Linked DNA regions of Sus scrofa. The protein of the gene in region 1 interacts with the protein of each later gene in a pairwise test. Links are inferred from orthologs where the notes say so. Each region holds a gene or a part of one and is shown on either strand. Other genes may lie near its edges. The genes, in order: TRIM39 and UBTD1.

Region 1 (3,809 bases):
GGGCCACACCCACAGCATATGTAAGTTCCCTCTAGGGGTCAAATTGGAGCTACAGCTGTCAGCCTGCACCACAACCACAGCAACATAGGATCTGAGCCTCATCTGACCTATACTACAGCCCAGAGCAATGCTGGCTTTCCAACCCACTGAGAGAGACCAAGGATCAAACCTGCATCCTCATGGATACTAGTCAGATTCATTTCTGCTGAGCTACAACAGGAACTCCCTATTATTGAGTTGTTATGTCTTGAATTTTTTTTACTAAAACATAAAAGTACAGTTTTTTTGGAAGTTAATTTAATAAATATATGTATTTTTTAGGGCCATATCCACAATATTTGGGAGTTCCCAAGCTAGGGGTTGAATCAGAGCTGCGGTTGCCAGCCTACACCACAGCCACAGCAACACCAGATCCTTAACCCACTGAGCAAGGCCAAGGATTGAACCCAAAAACTCATGGATGCTAGTGAGGTTTGTAATCTGCTGAGCTACAACGGGAACTCCTCATAAAATTTTTTTTAACCTTTTTTTTTTGGTCTTTTGTCTTTTTAGGGCTGCACCTGTGACACATGGAGGTTCCCAGGCTAGGGGTCTAATTGGAGCTGTTGCTGCCGGCCTACATCAGAGCCACGGCAATGCCATATCCGAACCGCGTCTCTGACCTACACCACAGCTCACAGCAATGCCAGATCCTTAACCCACTGAGCGAGGCCAGGGATCAAACCTGCAACCTCATGGTTCCTAGTCAGATTCATTTTTGCTTTGCTGTACCACAGTGGGAACTCCTCCTTTTTTTTTTTGTCTTTTCTAGGGCTGAACCCTCGGCATATGGAGGTTCCCAGGCTAGGGGCCCAATAGGAGCTGTAGCTGCTGGCCTCCGCCACAGCCACAGCCACGTCAGATTCAGGCCAAGTCTGTGACCAACACCACAGCTCACGGCAATGCCGGATCCTTAACCCAGAGATCGAACCTGCGTCCTCATGGATGCTAGTCGGATCCATTTCCACTGAGCCACGATGAGAACTCCAACATTGGTTTATTTTTTAACTTTCCAAGTGGTCTTCACTCTCAAGTCATCAGTAGGGGAGACAGTGGGGATGGAGCCATTCTTTACAGAAGGAAATTCCAGTGGAGAGAAACATGAGTGTCCTGTTAAGCTCTTTCCAGTGACACTGGAAGTCTGTGTGAATTTATGCACATGGTGGGTGGGAAAGGCACCTATGCCACCCTGGCCCTGTTAAACATAACACCCTCCCCCTGTCCTCAGAGGCTAGTGGAGAGTCGCCGACAGCAGATCCTAAAGGAATTTGAAGAGCTTCATCGGCGGCTGGATGAAGAGCAGCAGGTGTTGCTTTCACGACTGGAGGAGGAGGAACAGGACATTCTTCAGCGCCTCCGAGAAAACGCTGCTCACCTTGGAGATAAGCGCCGGGACCTGGCCCACTTGGCTGCGGAGGTGGAGGGCAAGTGCTTACAGTCGGGCTTCGAGATGCTTAAGGTTCGACCTTTGCCCCTGCATAGCCCCTCAGGCAGAGCGCAGCCTAGCTTTGCACAGGCCCTTCGGCAGGCCTGCAGTGCTCACTCCTCCGCTCTGCCTCTCTAAATTCCAGTTCTGTCCTCCAGACATACTCAAAGGATCTTTCTCTACAGAAAGGCTTCTCTGATTCCTCCCGTCCCCTTCTGATCATTTCTGTGCCCTTACGTCTTGCCAACAATTATGTGCTTCACCTGTACCAAAGAAAAAATTCACTCTTTTGAGAGGAGGGTAGTCTAGTCTGAATTAGTGAAAAAACTATGCATTAAAAATTGTGTAAATGCAGTAACCATTACTTTTAAGTCCTGGAACATGATCTACCTAGTACTCAGAATAGAAACAAAGTTTGAAGGACACTTGAAATAATGTATAAGTAATATATTGCTTTTAATATGTAAATAGTACCTCTAAAATGTTTGAAATAATCTGTTTTCTTAAGCAAATGAATGATGTTTGCAAGGCTGTAGGAAACATATTTCTTATCTTAGAGATCACATTGCCAGCATTTGAATAAGTGAGGCTTCGTTGTACATTTATCTGCATGTTATATATTGCTTGGTATTTATTCTCGTGTCCTTTCATGTATGTGTGTTCTGCCTTCCACATTAAACTGGGAAATCCTTGGGGGGCAGAGATTTGTCTTCTTTGTCTTCTGGACCCCAAGTATTCACAAATCAGGATTGGCGCACAGTTGTTTAATATTTATTAACCAATGCCAGACGAGGGATACAAACCACAATGGGAGAGTGTGATTCGTCCCTGTGCCAGCAGTCTGGAACTATCTGTACTGATCCTCAAGGAGACAGGTGTGTGGTTGGTACTTGGGGGACAGAGTAAAGAGCAGACACAATCCCTGTCCCTAGCATTGAGCTCCCAGTGTCCTTGAAGAGCAAAGACAAACACACAAGAGACTGTGTAGAAGTGATACCAGTTACCAAGCATCATGATGACTGAGAGTTGAAAGTGGGGGGTAGGTCGGGAGAGATGTGCTTGGGTCCCTCTGGAGTTCTTCCTCTTGCATTGTGACCCTTAGTTTGCCTCATGCCTATTTAATAGATCTAAAACGTTTGGGAGGAGGGAACCTTGTGCCTTTAGGACCCTTGACCACCGGGACCAATACTGCTTTCTTTTCTCCTTCCTCTAGGATGTCAAAAGTACCCTGGAAAAGTAAGTGATTCTTGTATCTCTTCGAGTGAGTTAGGTCTTGGCTTCAAGAGTAGGGCTGCAATGAGGAGTTGGGGGAGTATGGATGGGAATATCACGCAGCATCTGGGTAGGATATAGAAGAAGGTTTATTGTGTCCACGGAGCAGAGAGCACATCATCGGGAGTACTAGCCCCTTACCGTTTCCCTTTGACCATCAGGACTTCCTTGTTAAGGTAGATACCAAGATTCTACCTGGGCCTGTGGGTGAAAATGTGTCCAAACAAGATGGAAGGAGGAAAGGGCTTGGGGGAGGGGGGTGATTACCTATTTGCATGAAATATAACAATCCTTTCAAAAAGTTCTAAGACTCATTCACACAATAATGGTCTGTCCAAGGGACCACATGGCTTTCCATAGATGGGCAAAAGAAAGCAACAAGCAAATACTTGTCTTGAGGGAAGAGAAAGAAAGTGGGGGGATGGAGAATTTTAGTTTCTCCCTAGAGATGACAACATCTGAAAACTCACTAAGCTGGAGCTTCCCCTGACCCTGCCCTTTCTTCCCCTATCTCCCCATCCCTCCTAGATGTGAGAAGGTGAAGACCATGGAGGTGACTTCAGTGTCAATAGAGCTGGAAAAGAACTTCAGCAATTTCCCCCGACAGTACTTTGCCCTAAGGAAAATCCTTAAACAGCTAATTGGTGAGTTGTTCCCAAAAGGAAACTAGCAGAGGGAATCAGCAGAGAGAAGAAAGTCTTTAGGTCCTGCTTTCTCTGGGCTTCAGTTATCCCTTCCCTTCTGTCCCTTTTCATGCCCATATCCACACCCACCTGTACTGGGCTTTCAATCTCACTCTGAGTCACAACTCAAAGTGAGAAGCCTCGGACTTCCCTTCGTGGTGCAGCGGAAACAAATCTGACTGGGAACCATGAGGTTACGGGTTCGATCCCTGGCCTCGCTCAGTGGGTTAAGGATCCAGCGTTGCCGTGAGCTGTGGTGTAGGTTGCAGATGCAGCTCAGATCCTGCGTGGCTGTGGCTGTGGTGTAGGCTGGCAGCTGTAGCTCCGATTGGACCCCTAGCCTGGTAACCTCCATGTGCCATAGGAGCAGCCCTGGAAAAAGGCAGAAA
Region 2 (4,345 bases), on another chromosome or scaffold:
TATAAGACCTGCTGAAGGAAGGACTAGCAGGTCCCACTGATTGACTCTTCCAGGACATGGAGGCAAAGAAAATTAGCAGAAAGAGTTCTTCAAAGTGTAATTTTAGGTAGTTGGGAGTTCCTGTTGTGGTTGAGAGGGTTAAGAACCCGACTAGTATCCATGAGGATGTGGGTTCGATCCCTGGCCTCGCTCAGTGGGTTAAGGATCCAGCATTGCTGCAAGCTTGCAAGCTTTGGCACAGGTTGCAGAAGCAGCTTGGATCTGGCATTGCTGTGGCTGTAGCATAGGCCTATAGCTCTGATTCAACCCCTATCCTGGGAACTTCCATATGCCATGGGTATGGCCCTAAAAAATAAAACAAAACAAAGCTTTAGGTAGGGGGAAGAATAGAAGAGTAAGGGGAAGCTGGTTGGGGGGAAAGATGCAGAACTGGTTTTAGAAGTGCTGAATCTGAGGTTAACTACATTGGTGTCCAGTGGGCACCTAGATATCTGAGTCTGGGGTTGGGGAAGCAACAGTTGAAAATACAGCATAGGGGCCTTCCCAACAGACAAAGAGTTGTGGGGCTAAGATTTCTCTGGGAGGGAGCATGATGCGAAAAAGATGGAATGTCAAACTGAACTATGGGTGTGCCCACACTAGGAGTGATGGCTGGCAGGAGTGATCGGAGAAAAAAGCCAAGATAGTCCAATGTCAAGGAGGGAAAAGTCGGGGGGGGGGGGCTTCAAGTGGGAGAGGATTGTCAACAGTTAAAAAAAAAAAAGCTACAAATCAATTACGTGGGCTGAGTACATAAATAATAAGTATTTGTTGAATGAATGAATGAATGAATGAAAGGAAGAAAGCCCTTGGATTTGAGAATCAACTTTCCTGTCAGAAGATTGGCCAGGGTTGCCTTGGGACAAGAGGACTTCAATGCTAAATTGTTCGTTGTCCTCCCTATAAAAACACGTTGCTTCTTGCATAAGTCATCCTGTCCACCACACAGACATCCTTCCCTGCTTCCCCCACGTTTCCCCTCATCTTCCTTCCCAGTTTGCGAAACTCAAGCAACACACACCTTCAGTGTCAAAGGAGACAGGAAACTTCAACTAGAGTTTCTACTTCATTAATAACTCTGCTTATGGCTCCTCTTAAAGGGCTATGTGGCAATTGAGTGGAATAGAAGATGGCCTTCTAATCCCAGCTGTACTACGAATTAGCTGTGCAGCTATCGACAAGTTGCTCAACCTCTCTGGATCTGGGCTTTTAACAGACAAGAGAAGGTAGGTCTATCTGGACTCTAGACAAGTTTCGAAGGTCTCTTTCAGCTCTAAAGTCTACGATTTTATCATTCTCAGAAGTTCCTTGCAACACCCTCAGAGAAGGAAGTGAAGTGAGTACAAGACCCGGGGAAACGACCGCCAGACCTCTTACCCAGGCGAAGCGCCAGGATAGGGGTGTATCCAGAAAGTGAGAAAGCGCTGCCGGCCCTCGAGGATCACCAGAGAGCAGATCCCATTCCTAAGGCTGGGAAGGATCCCAACAACCCGACAGCGATTCCCACCCCGCACCCCACCTTTTCTAGACTCCCAGACGGCCAGGAGGCTCTAAAAAGCCCTGCGGGAAAAATAAAGATTTCTTTCCCAGAGTCCTGCGCTGCTTTTGCAAGTCGGATTCCGGCAGGCACGATCTGCAGCCCGATAATGACACAGTCTTTGGAAGGAGCGCCTGTTCTCATCTCGCTCGCTTCGAGTTCTGGGACGACTGGCCACCCGCGCCGTGCCCCGACGGGCGGGCGTCCGACCCCGGCCCCGCTGCCAGGCCAGCGGCGCCCCGGCCTGGGGCCCTCCTCCCCTCCGCCGGCCCCGCTGCGGTCTGCAAACATTTCCTGCTCCCGCCCCCACCCCCACCCGGAGCTTCCCAGTTGGAGCGAGTTGGGCTCGCAGCCGGGTCAGCGCTCGCAGTTGCCACAAGTCGGCTCCCCCGGCCACTGGGGCCGGGGAAGGGGACCCCCGTCTGCCTCGGAAGCAGCCATCAGGGAAACCTAGGCGCCAGGAGCCGTGGGAGGTAGCTCAGGAAGCCCAGTTCTCGCGCAAGAAGGCGGACAACTGGCTGGGCGCCGGTGGCCCTGCTCCCTTCCCGGTCGTTACCTGCTCGCTTGCGGGGGTGTCCCGGGGCGGTCGGCCTCTCCCGGCGCTGTCTCCCCACACAGTTGCCCATGCTGGCTCTTCAGCCGGGCCCCATGCACCGAAGGCGACGGGATGGTCCGCTGCTCCGCGGTCCTGCCCCGGACGGCGGCGTCCCAGGTCAACGGCTCCGACCGCCCGGCATCGGGCGCTTCCCGATCTCCCCCCTGCGGCGCGCTCTACCCCAGCGCCGGCTTCGCCACAAACTTTGCGGGCAAGGAGAAAGAGGGAGGTGGCCGACTCCCCAACACAGTCCCAGGTGGCCGGGCCAGGGGGGCCCGCGACGGTGCCCGGCTGGAGACCAGCTCCGCTGAAGGGGCGGAGAGAGGGGGCGGGCACCGCCGCTGTTACTCCCGGCTCGCTCGGGGCTCCCAGCTGGGGCCGGCCCCCCGGAGCCTGTCACTCACCTGCCTAACCCCGCCCCAGCCCAGCCCTGCTCCCTGCCGCCGGCTCGCGGTGCCCGCGCCGCCGCCGCCGCCCGCCCCAGGTGCGCATGTGACCGACGGCACCGCCCCCTCGGGCCGGGCCTGGTTTTCTCATTGGTTCCCCCCAGGGTGCGTACCGCCCCTCGGCCCCACCCAGACAGGTGCCCGCCCCGCCGCGGGTCTCCCGGGAAGCTGGGCCGGGAATTATTCGCCCTCAATGGCCCCCGGCTGCGTGCCCAGCAGCCGCCTTCGCTCCCTGAGCCACCGCCCCGACTCCGGGCCCCGCCCCTTGGGGAGGGGCCGTCCCATCCCACCCTGGAACTGCCTGGCCTGGAGCCGGCAGGCACGTGATCCAGGGAGCGCCCCGCCCCCTCAGCCTTCGCCAGGCGATTGGCTCAGGAGGCGCGTGCGCTGAGAGGCCCATCCCGTGCCACCGCCCATTTCCCCTCCCACCGTCTCCAGTTCGCGTCATGGCCGCCGCCACCGCTCTGGAGGCGGTCGCGCCTACGGGCGCCCTGTGGGGCCTCGTGCAAGACTTCGTCATGGGTCAGCAGGAGGGCCCCGCAGACCAAGTGGCTGCAGGTACGGCAGACGGCGCCGCGCGGCTTCCGCTTGGGGGCCTCCAGGAGGGAGCGGCCTCAGCACGGGCGCCGGGCGGGAAGGGAGCGGTGACTTTGAGAGATTGGTCCCGGGCTGGTTGTGAGCACCGCGTGCTTAAGAACCATAACAAATTGCGAGTCGCTTGCAGTCTTCCTTAAAGCGCCCTTATGACCCTCGTTTTGGTTTATAGCCACCCTGTGCACCGGCCTGGGTTAGGAAAATCATTACCATTTCGCAGGTGTGGAAACTGAGGCCCAGAGAGGGCCAGAGGCTTCCTGGGGGAGTTGGGACTTGGACGCAGGTCCTCCAGTTCAGAATCAGGTGCTCACTCCGCGAAAGCACGTTGTTTCGAGGAAGTTGATGTGACGAGAAGCATCTTCGGCAGCATCAGCTCCAGTCGCGTGGCATGTTGGGAGTGGCCGCGCGACCCAATCTCTGACTGGCTGTAATTAATTGGAGAGAGGAGGAGAGAAACCAGCCTAGGGGGAGTTTGAGATGTTCTGCGTATCTCTTCCCCCCATTCTTGTTCAAGTTCTTGATTAATTTGCTTCGTGCCTTTTTTATGTGGTGTGTGTTTTTATATTTTTCCCAGAACTCCAATTTCCTGCTTTTCACCAGTTTAGGGATCTCTTAGTTCTGACAGCTTATCTAAAATTTGAGCGGAGCAAATGACAGATTTCCTTGAAATTCTGAGACTTCACTCTTTTAGAAAAAGAAAAATCTAAAAAGTTATTGAATGTTAGGAGGCCTTCGGACCTTGTGTCTATGTAATAGAATACAAAATAATCTTGTCAGTACAGATAAGTTTTGTCTTTATTTTTGGAAATTGCGCGTGTTTGGGGAGAAGTAAAGGATACATTTCTCTTGAAAAGTGAACACACTTGCTTTTAAAATATGTGGGAAATGAATAAAGTGAACCTGTCAGAAGTATAATACTTTGGGAGTTCCTGGTGGCTCAGGAGGTTAAGGATCTGGTGTTGTCGCTGCCATGGCTTGAGTGTGGCACTGGTTCGATCCCTGGCGGGGGAACTTCCACGTGCTGCCTGCTTAGCCAAAAAAAAAAAAAAAAAGGAGTTCCCGTCCTTACGCAGTGGTTAACGAATCCGACTAGGAACTATGAGGTTGCGGGTTGGATCCCTGGCCTTGCTCAGT

What was found.
Region 2: the proteins of TRIM39 (region 1) and UBTD1 interact in binary tests that used the Homo sapiens proteins (3 or more experiments, as listed by UniProt). The two-hybrid records come from large-scale screens. The link is inferred for Sus scrofa from reciprocal best matches to the Homo sapiens genes TRIM39 and UBTD1.

What each region holds. Positions count from the first base shown.
Region 1 is NC_010449.5:23,056,536-23,060,344, forward strand, and holds part of TRIM39 (tripartite motif-containing protein 39), read left to right. Parts: intron 1-1,267; coding exon 1,268-1,498; intron 1,499-2,678; coding exon 2,679-2,701; intron 2,702-3,265; coding exon 3,266-3,381; intron 3,382-3,809.
Region 2 is NC_010456.5:108,885,259-108,889,603, reverse strand, and holds the start of UBTD1 (ubiquitin domain-containing protein 1), read right to left. Parts: upstream 2,850-4,345; 5' UTR 2,203-2,849; coding exon 2,133-2,202; intron 1-2,132. Other genes in the region: MMS19 nucleotide excision repair protein homolog, read left to right, coding at 3,064-3,175. UniProt on the Homo sapiens protein: May be involved in the regulation of cellular senescence through a positive feedback loop with TP53. Is a TP53 downstream target gene that increases the stability of TP53 protein by promoting the ubiquitination and degradation of MDM2.